3 linked regions of the Lepisosteus oculatus genome follow. The protein of the gene in region 1 interacts with the protein of each later gene in a pairwise test. Links are inferred from orthologs where the notes say so. Each region holds a gene or a part of one and is shown on either strand. Other genes may lie near its edges.

Region 1 (6,407 bases):
CAGGTACTGGACAGGCTCACACCTGCTGAGCTCCAGTGGGGCTGCCAGTCGTGAGTTGCAGGGTGATGCAGCTGCTAGCTAAGGTTTTCTGGCACTTACATGGAATTGCACACATTAAAAATAGAGATCCAGCCTAGGAATGAAAGGCAAACATACTGTATGACCCACGCAGAAAAAAAACCTCTTACAGTAAACAGCATGTGCGCTATGTTTGCAGGAGAGCGTGTGGAATTACTTTTCAATTCTTTTATGGAAGGAGAAAAAGAAACAAACACAGCAGGTCTAGGCAGCTTCCAGGCATTGTGAGCACAGGAACCGGAGGAGGAGAGCGGGAGGGAGAGGGAGAGGGAGAAGGGAGAACGAGACAGGAAGAGTGAGAGGGTGGGAGTGCTGGGACCCGAACTAAAGGTGAAAGGTCATGGTGCCGGCTGGCCCTTTGCTGGGGAGAATCCCAGTTAGAGCTGGACAGTCCGGTCTATCGGACCCGAGGTCAATTTTGGGAAGTGTGTTCTTTTATAGCATCCATCATTTAAATGCCCGACCTGACCAAGGCCATGGACACGGAGCTCACGATCACAAACGACCAGGTCAAATGGTCTCCTCTGACACACCCACCAATCAGAGCTGTTTGCGCTGCGCCGCACTATGACCTAGAACTGGCACTCAGGTGACACCTTCCCGAGGCCAGTGTGAGCTCACAGGCCTATGTCCTGTACCCCTTTTCTCTACACTGTCCCGTGTGGACACAGTTGATAAGGAGGAGAAACCAGCTGTTTTTCTGATAGGGATAAATCTGGGGGGGGGGGGGGTTCTTTGACCGCATGTCTTTGGAAGATTGGAGCTCTATACCACCCCCCCCCAAACCTCCAACACAAATCTAGCAAGAACATGCAAGCTCCACACAGAAGGGTGGCCTGGGCACTTGTACCCAGAACCTTGCAGGTGTGAAAGGGTGCCGTTAACCATCCTGCCACTCTGTGACCTGACATTACAGCCATGCATGTGGAGGACACACAACATGCCACATATCCAGAGTCGAATCTTCTGACCCCTTTGCCCACCAGGGCTGACTGCGGACCACCACAGCCCGAGGCAGACCGCCTGAGCCCAGCGTAGGTCTCTTCCAGGATTTCAGCTACAACCGGAGCAAAGCACTCGGATAAACAAACCAAATAAGCAGAATTTCCCTTTACACGGCTTCCTGATCTGGATTTTGTACTTATAAGGCGAGACGGGGAAGCGATTCCACAAGGGAGAAAGGGGAAAGGGGAGGAGGAGAGGACGGAGATCTACTTTTGTTTCGGAAAAATGGAAAAAAAAAACAAAAACAAAACATTCGCAAAAAAACACGAACGCGACTCTTCCTTGGCAACGGCATCCGTCCTCTGCATGAAAGACAGGAAAGTCATCTCCTCCTGAGTCACTTCCTCAGCAGGTGGCACAGGGAGAGAGCGCTGGCCAGCAGGGCTGGAGAGGCGCAGAGGCGGAGACTGGGAAGGAAAGGAGGGAGAGCAGGTCTGCAGAGCAGGGCTGAAGCTGGACTGGGAGTGAGGCACTGGGGGTCAGAGCTGAGGGACTGGGAGTGAGGCACTGGGGGTCAGAGCTGAGGGACTGGGAGTGAGGCACTGGGGGTCAGAGCTGAGGGACTGGGAGTGAGGCACTGGGGGTCAGAGCTGAGGGACTGGGAGTGAGGCACCGGGGGTCAGAGCTGAGGGACTGGGAGTGAGGCACTGGGGGTCAGAGCTGAGGGACTGGGAGTGAGGCACTGGGGGTCAGAGCTGAGGGACTGGGAGTGTGCCAGGCTGCATTGTGTTCAGTGTCGCAGTGTCAGAGTGCTGGGCTGCAGTGTGTTCAGTGTATCAGTGCCGGGCTGCAGTGTGTTCAGTGTAACAGTGTCAGAATGCCGAGCTGCAGTGTGTTTGTCTCAGTGCTGGGCTGCAATGTGTTCAGTGTCTCAGTGCCGGGCTGCAATGTGTTCAGTGTCGCAGTGTCCGAGTGCCAGGCTGCAGTGTATTCAGTGTCTCAGTCTCAGAGTGCCGGGCTGCAGTGTGTTCAGTGTAACAGTATCAGAGTGCTGGGCTGAAGTGTGTTCAGTGTCTCAGTGCTGGGCTGCAATGTGTTCAGTGTCACAGTGTCAGAGTGCCAGGCTGCAGTGTGTTCAGTGTCTCAGTGCGAGAGTGCCAGGCTGCAGTGTGTTCAGTGTCTCAGTGTCAGGGTGCCGGGCTGCAGTGTATTCAGTGTCACAGTATGAGAGTGCCGGGCTGCAGTGTGTTCAGTGTCAGAGTGCCAGGCTTCAGTGTGTTCAGTGTCTCGGTGCCGGGCTGCAGTGTGTTCAGTGTCTCAGTGCTGGGCTGCAATGTGTTCAGTGTCTCAGTGCTGGGCTGCAATGTGTTCAGTGTCGCAGTGTCCGAGTGCCAGGCTGCAGTGTGTTCAGTGTCTCAGTGCGAGAGTGCCAGGCTGCAGTGTGTTCAGTGTCTCAGTGTCAGAGTGCCGGGCTGCAGTGTGTTCAGTGTCTCAGTGTCAGAGTGCCGGGCTGCAGTGTATTCAGTGTCACAGTATGAGAGTGCCGGGCTGCAGTGTGTTCAGTGTCAGAGTGCCAGGCTTCAGTGTGTTCAGTGTCTCGGTGTCAGAGTGCCGTGCCGCAGTGTGTTCAGTGTCTCAGTGTGAGAGTGCCACGCCGCAGTGTATTCAGTGTCAGAGTGCCAGGCTGCAGTGTGTTCAGTATCTCAGTGACAGAGTGCCAGGCTGCAGTGTGTTCAGTATCACAGTGCCGGGCTGCAGTGTGTTCAGTGTCACAGTGTGAGAGTGCCGCGCCACAGTGTGTTCAGTGTCACAGTGTGAGAGTGCCGGGCTGCAGTGTGTTCAGTGTTAGGGTGCCAGGCTACAGTGTGTTCAGTGGCACAGTGTGAGAGCGCCGGGCTGCAATGTGTTCAGTAGTTCAGTGGTTAATTCAGTTTTAAAGATTCAGCAGCTGCTGCATATTTTGCGACTGCTGGACTGCAGTGTGGGAGTAAACTCCAAGACGAGTGGGGGGGGGGGGAAGACCAATTACACCGAGCCGTGGCGAAGTTACACTGCCAAAAATAAAGATTTTGTTTTTGTAACACGGCTTGTCAGTTCAGTGGCGTCGTTTCCAGTAGCTCCGTGGTTTTTTCAGTGCGCGATCGGCAGTCTGCGGTACAAAAGATACAAGCGCCTCCTCACACTCTCCGCTACAATCTCACAAGGAGGCCGGGCGCTCCGGCGCGCTTGGCGGTCTTCCAGATCGGAGAGACGCGGCTGTGCAAAGAGTATCTGAGGTCAGTGCGCTTTCGCAATGTCGTCTGATTGCTGTAAATACCGTGAGCAACGCGAGCAGAGAGGGACCGAGACAGGGATAAAGTCGCACAGACGATTAGCTCGGAGCAACCTTACGGTCTCGACTCAAGGCAGGTAAACGGGAACGATTTGTGAAAAAGATATAGGACTAAGTAAACACAGACTCCTAGCTCATCTTAGAAGCCCGGACATAAGAAATAAAAAAAGAATAAAACGTTTCGTATGTCAATGCCCTCGGAAAGGTGTAAACAAGTCTATGTTTATGTACAGGGCCACCCTTTCTGTTGAAAAACGCATCAAAGCCCAGTAATCTAAATATATAAATCACCCAGGCAGACATGCACCTGACTCTACTGTATTCCTCTTGCAAAGACCACATCTTGCATGGACGTCCAAAAGCGTCACTGAAAACGTAACAAGCGTTTCGCAAAAAAATTACACAACGTCAGAATGACAAAAATGACAAAAGAAATTAAAAATAAGTTCTGTGTATTTCTCAGCGGCAGCCAGAATATTTTAGGTAAAAACAATTAATGAAGGACACCCGCCTTCTCACATTTAACCACTCGAGATTAGCAACAGAAACAAGTCTGGTAACAAACTTGAGAGTTGTGACGTTTTCTAAACCGCCGGATTCCCCACAAACACACAGCAGCATCATTAACAAAAAAAGTAAGAGACATTCAAATAAACTTCGAAAAACTGATTTCAATTCTGTCCTCTCCAATAGTTGGAACTGTAACAAAAAAAATGCTCCCCAGTTCAGCTCGTTGCGTTCTCCCAAGATGTGTTTTTCAAGGACTACAGCAAAGCGACAGGGCATGTTATATAGACAGAGACGGAGTGATACATCACCTGGTTAAACAGCGTGGCCTAAATTCCTAGAACCAGCTGCCTCGCCGGCTTTTGAGGAAATAATATTCCAAGAAACAGCAAGAGCTCAATTCTGAGAACCCAAGTAGCGGCGCGTCACACTCTCGCCAGCCGTAGGGGTGCCCCTACTTTCTTGTCACGGCAGATCAGCGTTAAAGTGTTTCTGTTTTTCATTTTCACCCAAAGTTTGTAATAATAGCTGAATTGAAAGCGACTCACGCCTATCGGCAAAAGACAAGTATATTTCGGGGAAAGTTTCTTAATCCCCTTCACCCTTAAGCACCCCTCTCTTCACTTTGTGTAGTACAACCTGCTTAAAATGAATGTCACATGTCCCTCCCCGGGTAAACACGCTGATCTCAGCGCAATTTCTCAGAAGCGTGTTGGCAGAGGTTGATGTAATTTTAAACTCTCAGTGCTTTTATTCGGGGGTCGGCTGGCGTTTCTCGTACAGTTCGGGGGTCTTTCGGGGAAATTTTGGATCTTGGTACTACGGAACTTGGGTGTCAGTGTATTTTTAGTGAAGCGTGGGTTGTGTGGTGGTTTGTGTGTGTGTGCGCTCGCCGTGGGGAAGGTGAAAGTAAGCAGATAGATTTCTCTTCTTGTTCTCGTAATGACTAGTCAACCGGCGTGTGCGGCTTCCAGCAATATCATCGAAATTTAATTTCACCTGGATTCACCTGGTTGGTATCCACACATGATATCCAAAAGACGCCTTTTTCCCCCATAAGAAGAAGTAAACAGATTTTAAGCAAAACCCTTGGTTTTTAGTACTATAAATTAGAAACAAACTCCTGACAGTGCTAATTCACAATCGTGAAGGATCAAGGGATTTAGAAGAACAAGGGTTCTCTTGCAAAACGTTTAGAAATACTGAGCCATATTGCAGTTGACGGAACTGTCAATGGCGCATTTTCAAAGCTGTAATATTCAAGTTCTGTAACAGGTGCTAATTCATCCACCTTTTCTGTAAAACACACACACAGTTAATTTGGGGTTCAGCGGTTCGATCTTGTGAGGTTCAGACCTATTTTAATGAGGTGATATTGCAGATGGTTTCGCGTTTATTTCATGGTGACAATGGAGTAAACGAGTCGTCAGCGGCTGGGTTACTGGTGCTCCCAGGACTGTTTATATCAGAGAATATACGTAGATCACAATCTGTCTTTGAAAATACATGTTAACTATACTTGCGATAAAGTACAACAGCAAATTTACTTGCTCCACAGTTTGCAATTTGTTATTGTACCAGTTGTCAGATTTTGTGTGAACAGAGTGTGTCGAATAATCGTCTGGTATAACAGTCGGTCTGTGCAACAAAAGGCGGAGATGTCCAGACTTGGCAGGACGTGCTCTCAGTCAGCAGGGCGGCCCCGAGAGCAGAGCTCTGGAGCTGCTTACACCCGGGGTGCACAGGGACCGGCTGCTGGGGTCTCCTCTGACCCCTCGCTTGTTCTGCATGAAGAGTCCCGCCTCCCCCACGGCGGGCCTAACGTAATGAGCCATGCCTTTTCCCCAGATTCAGAGGACTCGATCAATAACGGAGCGTTGGTCTTTGGGCGAGTGCGATGAGTGGTGTGTGCTCAGTGAGGAGGGAGTGTGCAGTTATCGAGGCTCAGGGTGATCGTGGGCCAGGAAGCTGACAGGTTCTCGTAAGCTTTGCAAAATCCGGTGGGAAGGACGTGTAATGACTGATGTATGGGTTGACGTCTTTTATGTCATGTTATATTGATTTTTCGTGTAGTGTTTGTATGTTTTTTTGTAAGCCTCTCTGTTTGTAAAACATCCCATGCCTTCAAAACAATTTTCTGATAAATCGGGCAATAAAGTATAATCGTATATAGCTATTCAGTTCGGTTTAACACCCTATATGGCTTCGGTTATATCCTTCATGATGCTACAAAAAAAAAAAACTTAAGCCTGTTTATGAATTTCTTTCTTCTATGTAAAGCTCATTTTTGGCGCACGGGGCAGCTACACCCTCGGCCTGTCAGTGTCCAGAGTAGCAACCCATCTCGACCACAGAACCACGTCTCAGGGCGGTGACGCAATTGGAAAACGGTGACGAAATAGGCCTGGAAAGTAGAGGCAGGATCCTTAAAAAAACTTTCAAAGTCGGGGTAGAAAAAAAAGGAGAGAAGTTTTATTTATATCGTTTATATTGTAAGCCCTGCGGTTGAAAAACGATAAGACGGAGTAGGTGTCGGGTTAGTGTC
Region 2 (6,407 bases), on another chromosome or scaffold:
GCTGGCATTACAGAGCTGCACTGTCAGGATCGGTCTCCTTCTGTGCTGTCGTGTTGGGGAAACCTGGCTTGGTGGAGCACTTGAAAGGATACTTCCAGCCAGAGCCTTCATCTGGTACTCAGCAAACAAAGATGACATCTATGGGATTCCTCGCTCTAGAAGATTTTTTTTTAAAGCAAGTGCAGTGCAACAAAAGTATTTATGACTCCACATAATATTTTGAACAGAACTGATCCTTGCAGCTGCATTTCTCTGAGGGCCCATATTCTATACAGAGTAGACAGCAAAATTCCTTGGTTGCAAAGGGAGCAAGGCCATAGGAACTATGTCCTTAATATGTTTTAAACATATCCCAAACACCTAACACGAGAATTTCATGTATGATGTACAGTACAAACACTGGATCTTTTTTAGTGGGAACAGTGTGGGTGTCTGGGAATTCCCACTGGCATGGAAAGTGTGTGTACTTGGCTTTATCTAAACCAAAAGAAAAGAGTTAATTACTCAGCTTTTTATTGCTACAACTTGTGTTAAAAATGTGTTAACACATAAGGATTATATCTTATACAATCTAAGGAGGATATGAGCTGAGTCTGCACTTAACATAGTGCAGACCTGGTTAGAGACTCTAAAAATGTGTACTTTAAAATGTCTGCAGCAGGACACTGAGCTAAGTAAGAAGTTAAAGGCATAATAATCTAATACCATGTTTGTTTTCATTGTGAGAAAAGGTGAAAGCTTGGTATTCCAACTAGGCCTCTTTAATTCTCTCTTAGCATTTTGTCTTGGCAATTCATCTGACTGTGCAGCTGTGATAAACATCTAAGGAGAACATACTGTAGGCTGGGCTCTCAAAATTTAATTAAAACCATTTAGGAAATATGGCGTGGAGATTTTCGACAGTTTCAAAAGTTTCTCAGTCTTAAGTAATGTTGAAGCCTGGTGTACCAAAATTCCATTAGTGCAAGCTGGAACAGTGCTGGAAACCAGAGCAGCAGAAACATGGACACATACACCAGAACATGTGTTTTCCAGATCTTTTGTTTCTTTAAGCACCAGTGTGCCACAGAGAATATGAAATTACTGATTAGCATGGATGTCGACTCCATGGCTTGCTTGGAGTTTAGTACACCAGTGAAGGCTGTAATGGGAAGAATGCAGCAGGACTCTGGCTGAGAAGGCTTTGGCCACATTTCCAAACCCCCGGCTCAGTTCTCCAAAACACATGGAGGTTTCACAATGTCCTTCTCTGTCTGGACAACATTGCATGACTGTGCAGCCTTTTTCCTTCAATGGCAACAAACAGACACTAAATGGTAACTCTTTGTACTATATCATTAAAAGTGACAATAAACCACAGGGACAAACCTAACATTACACACTGCAGATGATAACTCTTACATTACTTCATAAGTGTGACACTGAACATTGTGTACATTCCGTCCAATGGTATTCTCACTATCATTTAGAAACAAGCACACTGAATGGGAAGGCTTCACATGTCAGTACGACACAATTTTAATTTACATAAAACCAATCAAGATGTTAAGATGTTTCAGCTGCACAGTCACATACACATCAACTATGATGCTTCCCATGAAACTTCAAAGAGCAAAGTGATTCCAGAAAAGCGCTAGCTGTGAGGTTTGTCCTTTAATGACAGGTAAATAAGCATTCTATATACAGTAAGGTTGCACATGGGGCAAAATTATTAACTCTATCTCCTGGAAAGATTGGAGAACTGGGCTGCTGGCCTTGGGATTCTCAAGACTGTGCCTAGGAACTGCTACATGCTGCCTCTAATTATGGGAGGTTTTATTATTGCAACGTTTTTTATTCCTGCGAGAAAAAGAAGACGTAAAGCCCTATTCCGGATTCTCATACTCAACGGAGCTGACAAAAGCACACCCTTTAACTGATCAGACCTACTTGTTTCAAACACACAGTTACAAATCAGCCAGTTCTTTTAATTTATAAGTGCTAATAGCTGGTTAGCTGTACTTGGGAGATGAGGAGTTACAGTAGGCATTTGAACTTCCGTTTCTTTTGAAGAAAAGGAACTCTCTTTGGCCATACAATAAGGCTGCCACAGCTCTTAAGACTCAGCATCTGCTGAACTTCTCCATTCTCAAATAAACTGATTCAGCTAAAATGTGGTCTTTGACCAATTCTGCCTCCGAAACAGACAGTAAAATAGCAATAAGCGCACTACTGTCACTTGATTTTGCTAAACTGTAAATACTAGTATAAGTTATACTACCAATTTTCTCTGATTGTATAGTATTTGTGTTTCTTAGTTACTAAACCTCGAGCTCCAGGCACCAAAAGATTTGACACAAAATCTTTCAAAAGACCCACAGAAAACTTTCCAAGCAACCACATGACCTCCTGCCACAAGTGTGGAAGCCAGATAACAGCTGCACAGCTGCTTAGGAACAAAAAAAAAGCTCTCGTTTTAGAAGGGTATCATGTAAAATGTGTGTGCTGGCCTGTGCATGGCGTTTTCTTCCACAGCTGGTGATGACAGAGTCAAGCCCTGTCTTTACTGTCAGTCCAGCCTTTGCAATGGGAAGCCGAGGGGAATGAGCACTGAGAGGTGCAGGGAGGCACTGGGGTGGCAAAGCACTGTCAGTGCAGATACAGCTACTGGACATGTGGGAATTGCGACTTGCTACACTATGGACAGGCGATATCCTTCTCATCCGACCAGCTTCCATGCTAAATCCTTAAAATCTATACGGATTATTCCTGATTTCACTAAAGCCTTGACTGCAAAATGACTAAGTGACTGGTCCTAACTTTGAAGTGAACAGCATGCAAAAATGGAACATAACTGGGTCCCATGTCTGTGTGAGAGTAAAACAGGACACAAAAACAATCACACCTATCATGGTACTGTACGCCTGGGTTCAGTGCATTGTCAATTCACTCTTTTCTCCACAGTGCTATTTTTGTTAGTTATTTGAGTAACCCAGCAGAGATCAGTTATTCCTGTCTAGAGGGCAAGCTAAAAAAAAAGACTTCACAATTCTAGAACTGCAGGAGGAAGGCTGGAGAGGTCTCTGCACTTAGGGCACACGGTGACTCACTGGACAGAAAAGAAATTTCTTCTGTCCTCAAGACTGAAAAAAGGGAAGAATTCAAACAGCAATTCAGACTGGCCACATAACATGTCGAAATGATTTACAGCTGTGTTTAAATGCATTTCCGATTGAAATGAAAGTTATCCAATACTTAAGACACTGGATTTTCTATGCTCCTTTAAAGTCACAAAACTAATCTAAGTGAAGTATTCAGTTTTTATAAAGGGTGATACTCATCAGACATCGAGATCTAAGATTTAAGTAGGACTGCCTTCCAGTCCTTTACAACATGCATGAATGTAAAAGCAATATATCTGTACTATGACAAAAGCACCAACGAGAAAAAAATCTCTAAAAGCATATGTTCTTGATTATTCTCTTGTGGTCTTGGTAAACTGTACATCTGTATCTGCAGAGACAGAAGAGTACCGTACCTGGCCGGCGGTGTCATACAGTCCCAGCAAGTACTGTTTTCCTCCGACCGTAACGCTAACTGTAAGAAAGAAGAAACAATCATCGCTGTAGAGAGACAGAGAAAGAAAGGAGACACTGTAGAAAGCAAAGCAAGTGGTTTTAATTAGAATAACAAGATTCCACTGCAAGGCCACCATCTATGCGTCTGGGAATAGCGGCAAACTAGACTAAGAGCGGGGGGGGGGGGGGGGAGAAAAGTTTATATTTCAGTTTTTACGAATCCTTTGTACAATAACAAGCTCCTATATAAATTAATTTATTTAAAAGCATAAATACGTACAAATACATTGAGCTGTTTATTGCGCGGCGGATTTTATGTACAGTAACTAACGTCAGAACGTACGGATTCTTTCAATTACATTTCGAGACAATAAGTTATTTTATTAATAGCCGCGGCATTTAAACATCCATCTTTGATTTATATTAACAGAGCCGTCTTGCATTACAGTCTCCAGCTCTGTGTGTATCACTGGTACAGCGCGGTTGTGGTTCTGTTGCACTCCAGCTTACTGAACAATGAAATGTCTCTGGTGCTGTAAGAAAAGTCGCCTACCTGCGTAATGGTCAAAGACAGTAGGAACATACTCCTCTGGAAAAGCGTCGTTGGCATAGCTCATCAGAAGGCAAGTTTTGCCGACAGCGCCGTCTCCAACAACCACACATTTCAGCATAATCGTGCCTGTTCCATTTGCCATAATTCGCAGAAAATCAACATTTTAACCGCCCCGGTTTTCATCGGTTAAAAGGCAACGTCCTGCCGGGCAAATATTACTCCCAGTCTCGTCTGCCTGCGCTCCCTAGCAAAATAACTGAAAATGGCATTTCTCCTCCCCGGCTGCCAAATTTGGCAGTTAAGGGCTTTCCTTCCTCTTTCTGAGCCAGCACATTCACGGAGGAGAGACACACGCTGAGCACGCTCCTCCGGGCGTTTCAGCAAGCCCCGCTGTAAAGTTCCAATATGCAATGCATAGGCTTCCTTCTAACGGGTCCAAACATAACTAAAGCTCCTGTCCCCGCATGACAAACTCTGATTCGCCTGTCGCTCGATTAGTCCACTTATCCCACTCTTTTCTCCAGTCTCACTTGTAAGGGCTATGATGCCAACTCGAGAAGGCTTGCGACAGAGGCGGAGTAAGAGTCCGAGCTCAGGGACTCTGTCAAAAGTGACTCGGTTGTAGTTCAGCGAACAGCGTGAGCTGTTACCTCGCCAATATTTTCTGGCTGATACTGTACTGTATGTAGGTGTGCTGGAGGCAGACTGGCGGGGCTCCTGCTCTTGTCTGTGTCCTCGTTTTACATGCTTCCACAGACATTCAAACCTTCAAGCACAACCGACTAATTGGCCATTTATCATTTATAACCTTTCCTAGCTGCTAGACGATGTTTCCCTGAGGCCAGTCCCTTCCGAAAACTGAACTAGAATGGACACAGTGGTGTGATTTAATAATTTATGAGGAGCTATTGTGTACCAATTCTTAGTCCACAAGCATGCTTATATTTTGTAGACCTACAGTATCAAATCTTCTCATGGTAAGGTCTAATTCCCAGGGACCCATACCATGAAAATGAAAGGGCTACAGTATGCAGTGAATTATGCCATTTACATTGTATAATAAAATTAGCAGTGTAAATTATTGCAAACTTAATTTTATTATTTGTACTAATTGCTGGCATGCTTCCTGCACAAGTATCTCACCTGGGGCTGGTCCAGTCTGGGTAGATGAGGGCTCTTAGCCCCTGTTTCAGACAAGGCAACAGGCAGCTTGGTGTCAGGCAAGAGCTGTACACAGGACACCCCTGTATATCCAGCCTGGAGCATGGACTGCAGCCCCCCCTTGCGACCCCACTTTGCAGGTCCTTGTTTTGAAAGTCAGAGAACTGTTCAGTGTCTGGCTGGCCCAGTCAATGCCATTAAAATACACCAGGGCAGGCCAGCTCCAGTGGGGGTGTCAGACAGGCCCTGCGCTTTGGGAAGTATTGAGTCTTGTTCTTCGGCAGTGCCTGTCAAGATGTTGGTCCCGGTCAAAAAGGAAAGTCCTGAGTCATGATGATAATAATGAGGTTTTCTCTGCTTCCCTGCTGCACTGCAGAATGAGATATAACAGTTCAAAGTTCTGACTCCAAACCAGGATAGCCAGTACAGAGGGAGGCACAGCTGCATGTGTCCTCATTAGCTCACCTGCTGCAGAGGTCTGACCTCACCCCTGCAGGGTCACAGGACTGTCAGCACAGGGAAGCAGATTAAAAATGCAGTCAATTTGTTTTGCAGTTTAATGCAAAAACTTGCATTTGTGGTCTTGTTGTAATTATTAACCATTAAAGCGGGTTCATACTCTTTTCTTTTCTGTACAGCACGTTTGCTGTGCTCTGTTGTGTTTTATATGTGCTAGATAAAATATGACAACAGAGGCTGACTGACTAAACTTTAGGTGAGGCCTTGCCCAGGTCATATCAGATCTGGTTACTAATCTGTTTACATTCAGTGGTTAGGGCTACAGTATATTTAAGGTTTTTAACTCAAGGTCTGTATTGCACAGGGGTAATAAAATCTTTTCATTGACTATGCAGGCAATTGCCAAGCATTGTATGCAGATATAGTTCTGTCAGCTGCAAATGACCACACCAGTAAGGCATAAGCACACAAGTTCGAGAAATTAATTTGAAAAATGTTTGCTCAATTACACGATGAAAAAAATAAAGAGAAGACGCACTGTACGCGTTTGCTGTAAACTTTGTCGATGGTCCCTAAAAGGCTGATGGAAACCTAATCAGCTGGGAGTGGGCAGAGCTCCCCAGAGCTGGTAAGCTGGCTGGGGACGCGCTGTTATGTTTTAGTAATGGTATCACTTT
Region 3 (6,407 bases), on another chromosome or scaffold:
TGCGTCCAAAGGAAACTAAAGAACTCAGTTTGTCTAGACTGTGGCAATGAAGTTTCACACAGGTTGCAAACAATTTGTGGGCAGGATCATTTCATATTTTTCTAGAAAAATGCCAGATCAGGTATCCTGCAGTCATCCTTGCAGTAATCTTTCTTATATAATGGACAATATATTTAGTCAGAAATTGTGTTTTCAGCCTCCTTCACTCAGCTCATCAAAACACGAAGAACTGCTTATGGACCATAGGCAGGCTGATTCCTGTACAGTGAGCTCCCCCTGTGGTCTGTAGTGTGCTCAGCTACTGCAGTAAGCATCCCGATTCCCTTAACTTGTATTATCATGTTAATGCTATAATACAAGTTTCCTGTAATTGTAGTTTAAACTGGTAATAAACCAACAAAATGTGGATCCCTATTGAACATTACATACTGGAGAGGGCTGGAAACAGAATATTAACAGTCTCATACAGACTTTTGTTTTCTGTCAATAGTAGACTGATTTTGTGTAGCTCCCAATTAGATGACACATGTCAGCCATTATATGACAGCAGCTGCAGATAAGGTAACATAACATAACATAACATAACATAACATCACTTTATTAGCCCTATACAATTTATTGCATTAAGAATTTTTCTTCGAATACCCCAGCTTACTCTCCATGAAGAGGAGGTAGAAGAGTGAAACTGAAGGAGGTCAAAGTGTGCAGGCACTAAGTGGAATTCAGTCAGGATATTGTTAACATCCCTAAACATATGAATACTGCAATAGGATCTTTACCAAATAGTAAGGGCTTCAGTTTAACGTCCCTTCCAGAGAAAGAACCTGCTTCAACCCTGTATCTCTGCTCACTATTCTGGGGAACGGGGGTGGAAATTTTGGTCCAGCCTTTTGACAGTTTAGGCCAGGGGTAGTTAACTTTGGCACCCTAGATTATCAGCCACTCCAGGATTTTACTCCATTTTATCTTTAATTTTCTGGTAAATTAATTAAGGATCAATTCCCCCCAGGCTCAAAATGCTGTAATGCCAAGAATTCCAGTTGTCAAGGTTGACTACCCGTGGTTTAGTAGGCAGTCACTCGTCATTATTCTTGATGTTACTCTTATTTCACAAATACCGAATACAAATACAGAAAAAGACATGCCGACGCCAAGGGCTTCTCCTTCATAACCGATTTACTGCGATCCTCACAGTACTTTGTAACGGTAAACTCTCCCTCTGCTCACTTAAACCGTTTGAATTTTTATATTTCTTCGTGTAAGCTTGCTCAGGGAGTTTCTTGTTGATTTACCAGTTGTCTGTGACCGCCTGAGTTTTGTTTTTATCCGTTTATGAGAAAATATTGATTTTTCACAAACTTCCAATTCCTACAGACGCATCTAAACTGTTTTTCTGGATTTTACGTTAGTTCGAATTGTAACCTCATTATCCGATGATTGCTGTACAAAATACTCTAAACTTTATTAATATTTGTTATATTTATTACTACTGTATATAATTATTTTCTATTTATCCATTCTGCGCCTTCGAAAAAACGTCCCATACCGCTGAGCTGTTCCCGGTCGCCGCTTGATGTCGTCAGGAAAAGGTCCGGAAACGAGAACGGTTGTTATGGAGAAGCATTTCCCCTGAGGGATAGAAAGAGAGAGAGAGGAACTGGAAAATAGAGCGAGAGAGCGAGGACGGGAAGCACGAATGGGAAAAGTGAGGAAGCTGTGACAGCGGCTCCTTCAACAGGTAGGTCGATCATCGTTTGATTTTGTTTCTTTCATGCCTTGTACTGTTTTCAATGGCTTATCGGAGCTACTTCGAATTCGGAGCAAAGCCAGGCGAAGCGGCGGCGTAGTTGCGGGAAGTTCAGCAGCAACACGATGTCAGTGGCAGGCAGCACCGCTCACCTCGCCGTGGCGGCTGAGTTCACGGGGCTGACTCCATAGCTGTTCTGTCTCTTTCTCCAAAAGGCTAGGTTGTGTCGGAATCGGGTAGGCGTTGCTTTGCACTCGTTTTCTGCAGGGGTGTGAAGAGTTGCCCTTTTCGTTTTCTTATGGGAGTTTCTCAAGCAGCGCAACAGGCGGCTCTGGGATCTTGATACTGGCCTGACGTGTCTAGCGTGTGTCAGGGTTGCTTTTAGTCTCTCACTTTTACTATTGTTGGAGAGATGCTGAGAGACGTGGTGGGTGCGAGTTCGCTTCATTTAACCTGTAGAGAGAGACAGGGAAAGCCTATTTCATGCTCTAACAGAACCGCGGTTTCTGTCCAGACTGAACAATTAAAATGGTGCTGTAATTAAGTCTCTGTCATCACAGTGACCTGACATTGTCTTCTTCTGTCCTACAAGAGAGAGCAGCGTGCTGTTTTTGTAAGTACTATCATTTTTTAAAACTTTTTACAACCCAGAGGCTCAGCCGTAGTAGCCTATTAAGGTCGGATTTCTATATGCTGAGGGAGCAGTGAGTGAACATCATATACAGTAATTAACCTGACGTGACTATGGTTTTAAAGACCGAAAGTTCAAATGATAAGGGTCAGGAAAAGTAAAGGTTACAATAACAGCGGTCTCAGATACAGTACTGTACGGTATTCCCTATCTCTAAACTGGTAGCACGGACACTTTATCAACTGTATAAGACTGTTCCTTAGCACGCTGACTGACAGAACTGATTGGATACTGGCAAATGCAGCACGCTGACTGAATGAATGGCTGGCACAGAGAGACTGCTGACTGAGGGACACTCTCCCTGACTGACGCATTGCTCGAGATACACCAGCAGCTCCCTCTCCTTACTCTCTTCACACTGCTGTGCTGGGCCTCCTGCCAGGGACAGCATCATCTTTGAGCACTCCTTCCAATTCAGCAATTTCATGCATTCTTGTAAAGTAATTGAGCTGCAATTTTATGCTACTTTACATTTATGACCTAACGCTGCTTTGTTCCGTGTTCTTTGAGTGTGTGTGTTCATGCGTGTTTCAGGGCCATTTTTGACTTCTGCTGTATGGCCGCAGTGAAATACAGTGGGAGTTTCCTGGTGCTGTTTAGTCAGCAATGGAACTTGCTTCTCATTTCCTAAAATTGGATCGAATTCTGTTTGTGCCGATTGAGACTGTCTCCAATATGCAAAAACTACTTCAGAAAGAGTGTCAAAATATGGGCTCGGATCCACAGAGATGGACACACGATTAGAAAATGGCAACGGCTGGCTGAAAGTCTGAGAAGAAGAAAGTAGTGGAGTTGGAAATGTCACGTTTCCCCTGCACACACAGATAGCCGAGTAAGACAGTGAACAAGAGGGGAAAACACATCGCTAGGATGCGTGTTGTACATTTAATTGTCTCCAAATGATGTGTCTGCATGAGATCCTGGGCTCGCTGAGCAAGCAAAGCCTTATAATGTAACAAAGGTCAGGGTGGCTGATTGCCTCCTAGACAGACCAACACTTGCAGGGACACCACCAGAGAGTACAATGGGGGGAAGGGCTCAACAGGTGAATTTTTACACTTTCAAAAATGGAAGATCAAAAAGGAGTCGGCATGTCCCAGCGCTTGTTGTTTGTCCCTGTGACAGTTTGGGTCCAGTTCAGTGAAGATGGTAGGAAATTTGTTTTTGGGAGAGTCAAGTTTTTACCAAAACCTTAAACCAGAGTGCCCTGTGATGAGCATAGATTGTGATGAGTTTAAAAGGCACATATATTTGGAAATTATTTTATATGCAGGATTATACTTGTCATGGATTCTAGAAACTTATAGAGTGTTCATTTGGAATCGGTGTGCAGGTGGAACAAATTTTGCAGTTCAGCAAAAAGTTTTGAGCATTGTTTTAACTGTTTCTCTGGGTTTCTCTGCAGCTTGCCGGCTGTGCAGGTTTTGTGCTGTCACTGAGGCTCTGAATGCCTCAGCTCACATGACCTGGATTAAAGTCCACCTGCCTCAGCCTGAGAGCTTTCCTGGCATTGTGACTTAATTGTGTGCAAAACTGTTAGAAAGCCAGAGGGGAAAAATGGTTTATACAAATATTAACCACAGGCTTAACCTACTTCACAGTGTTTCGGGTGAAGGGAAATCTTTTACCCAGTGCACACATGATGCAGATACAGTCTGTCACAATTTGTTTTAAAGCTCATATCAATTCCAGGTACCTTGTACAGTTTTAAAGCCATCATTTGTAATGGAAAAGTCTTTCAATGAGTTTTGTTGGCACAGCTGTATTGCCTGGTTTTCAATACACTGCTACAAGACGTTTGTTGAGGTTTGTAGGATCTGGGCCTAATGGATCTCCTCTCAGATCTCTCTTTCATGTTTCTGTGAATGCAGTTTTAAAGGAGCACCTGCTCATGCTGATTACCATATCACAAGGCCTGATACCAAAGGACTTACAGTAAAACTATAATTAGCAAGCGAACCAATAAGAATTGAGCTGATTTCAAAAGTGAACTGACACTCAGCTAAATAGATAAGCATATCTAGATGCCTATATCCCTGTCTCAGGTGATACATTTCAGTATAGCTCATTTCTTAAACTTTGCTGTTAAACAGCATTGTAGAAGCATGTACAGTACCTTTGTTCCGTGAAGCACAGAGTCAAATATTAAGAAAATCAGTAAGTCTTTTGAAAGGAAACAGGCAAAACTATGCAAAGATATATTCTAAACATACCTCTGTATCTTTCTCCTGCTCTCTCATTCTCTGTATTTTTATTTTGTGATTAGTTTCATTTTTCTTGTTTTATTCTTTGCTCGGTCAATCAGGGGCCATTTGTCCCTGCCAATGATTCCAGTCTGAACTGTAAGATATTCTGTGGTTATCTGGGCTCCGTTCCCACAGTCCGAGAGGGAGAACTTGACTGTTTTAAAAGGCAAAACAAACAGGAGACACTGTTATCAAAGGGCATCTGTATCATTACTCCAGCAGAAATACGACTTGTACTAGGCAAAGGTCAGTGAGGAAGTCACATTGGATTTCTTCCACCAAATATGAATGATTTGTGGAATCCTTCAGCAGACGTAAACTCACAGAAAGGTCCAAGCAGACCCACACAATATGTGTTGTGAGCTTTGTTGGATTACAGAAAAGCTCTCTGTAAAAAGTGTTTCAGATTCAGTCTGATATTTAAAACATTTGCAGTTTGTGCACTGTGAATTATAGCTGACAAGTAACTCCAACTATATTATTAAATGATTGTTAGAGATGCACATCAACTCCAAAGTTTAAACATAAAATAGGTATGTGCTCTTGCTGAACTCTTTCCCTTTGTGGCTGGGTGAGAACTTATAAGATGCTGTTCGGCGTGTGTCGGCGTGATATAATGCTTAAGGGTTTTGCAGTGAAAGGCAAGAAAACGCTCCTGGATGGGGTGGCTGTGGTGGTGACACAAAACAGAGCCGAGAGCGACCTTTCAGTGACCCCAGCACTGAAAGCAGGAGGGGGTCAGCCAGGGGCCAGCGCTGAAGGTGTGTTTTGGGGAGTGGCACAATCAGGAGAATGGCTATCATTGTATCCTGTGCTGTTTTATTTCCCCCAATATAGGGAGCGCAGCTCTTTCTCAAGAGGTCACTCAGGGCAGCACACCAATGGAAACAGGCTGATAAACTGATAGGAAATCTGTTGTGCAGCTTTTATAGTGTGTTGCTATGATTAGCATCATAAGAGTTATGTGATGCGACTCTGTACAGTTTAGATGTTATTGGAAGCGGTATTTTGAAGAAGTGGCAGTAAATGTTTGTGCCACACCTTTGTCAAGGTAATGAGTGTCTGAAATAAATATGTGTAACGTTTTGTTAATTGTTTGTTGTTGACACTTTGATTGCATCAATAAATCGTTTTGAATTTGCAGTGTTCAAAGCCCCTTCAGATACTCTGTCTAACAGGGTAATAGAGAATCTTAAAAATAACTCCCTGTATAACACTCAAATTTGCTTTAGCTTTATTTATTCCTCCACATAATTGGCTTTATGTGGAGGAAGGCTGGATGTGTCGGAACATGTGCTCTCATAACATTAATGATAATGGGTTAGGGCTTGGAAAAAAATATATACTTCTGTTAGGAGCAGCAGATATTATTTCCATGCTGGGCAGTTCCAGTTTATAAAGAAAGAAAGGAAGACGACAATTTTTCCTTCCTCCTTTTGGAGCTGAATAGTCCTGGCACCTGAAGGCCGGGCTGTCCTGTTTGTAGTTCCCAGCCTTCCTGTTTTTCCCCTCAGTTTGGGCCTGCTTCCTCCTCTTGAGCTGTAACTTCACCTGCCTCTCCAGCCTGAGCTGCAGCGGTTAAGGTGCCGTTTTGGCGTGGATAAACCAGACACATTGTCATGGTAATTGCACAACTCATCACAGTGCTCCTTCTTTCCTTCTCCCTCTCTCACGTCGGCCCTCCCCCCTCCCTCTCAATTCAGTTCAATTCAAGGTGCTTTAT

Evidence for each region.
Region 2: the proteins of trip6 (region 1) and rhoq interact in a two-hybrid assay, tested with the Homo sapiens proteins (2 studies listed by BioGRID and IntAct). The two-hybrid records come from large-scale screens. The link is inferred for Lepisosteus oculatus from reciprocal best matches to the Homo sapiens genes TRIP6 and RHOQ.
Region 3: the proteins of trip6 (region 1) and ppp1r16a interact in binary tests that used the Homo sapiens proteins (3 or more experiments, as listed by UniProt). The two-hybrid records come from large-scale screens. The link is inferred for Lepisosteus oculatus from reciprocal best matches to the Homo sapiens genes TRIP6 and PPP1R16A.

What each region holds. Positions count from the first base shown.
Region 1 is NC_090698.1:9,104,342-9,110,748, reverse strand, and holds the start of trip6 (thyroid receptor-interacting protein 6), read left to right. Parts: upstream 1-3,083; 5' UTR 3,084-3,299; intron 3,300-4,173; exon of another isoform or gene 4,174-4,262; intron 4,263-4,582; exon of another isoform or gene 4,583-4,874; intron 4,875-4,894; exon of another isoform or gene 4,895-5,685; intron 5,686-5,699; exon of another isoform or gene 5,700-5,887; intron 5,888-5,918; exon of another isoform or gene 5,919-6,252; intron 6,253-6,258; exon of another isoform or gene 6,259-6,407. UniProt on the Homo sapiens protein: Relays signals from the cell surface to the nucleus to weaken adherens junction and promote actin cytoskeleton reorganization and cell invasiveness. Involved in lysophosphatidic acid-induced cell adhesion and migration.
Region 2 is NC_090712.1:13,379,717-13,386,123, forward strand, and holds the start of rhoq (rho-related GTP-binding protein RhoQ), read right to left. Parts: upstream 4,678-6,407; 5' UTR 4,253-4,677; coding exon 4,111-4,252; intron 3,577-4,110; coding exon 3,518-3,576; intron 1-3,517. UniProt on the Homo sapiens protein: Plasma membrane-associated small GTPase which cycles between an active GTP-bound and an inactive GDP-bound state. In active state binds to a variety of effector proteins to regulate cellular responses. Involved in epithelial cell polarization processes.
Region 3 is NC_090701.1:29,031,735-29,038,141, forward strand, and holds the start of ppp1r16a (protein phosphatase 1 regulatory subunit 16A), read left to right. Parts: upstream 1-1,634; 5' UTR 1,635-1,738; intron 1,739-6,407. UniProt on the Homo sapiens protein: Inhibits protein phosphatase 1 activity toward phosphorylase, myosin light chain and myosin substrates.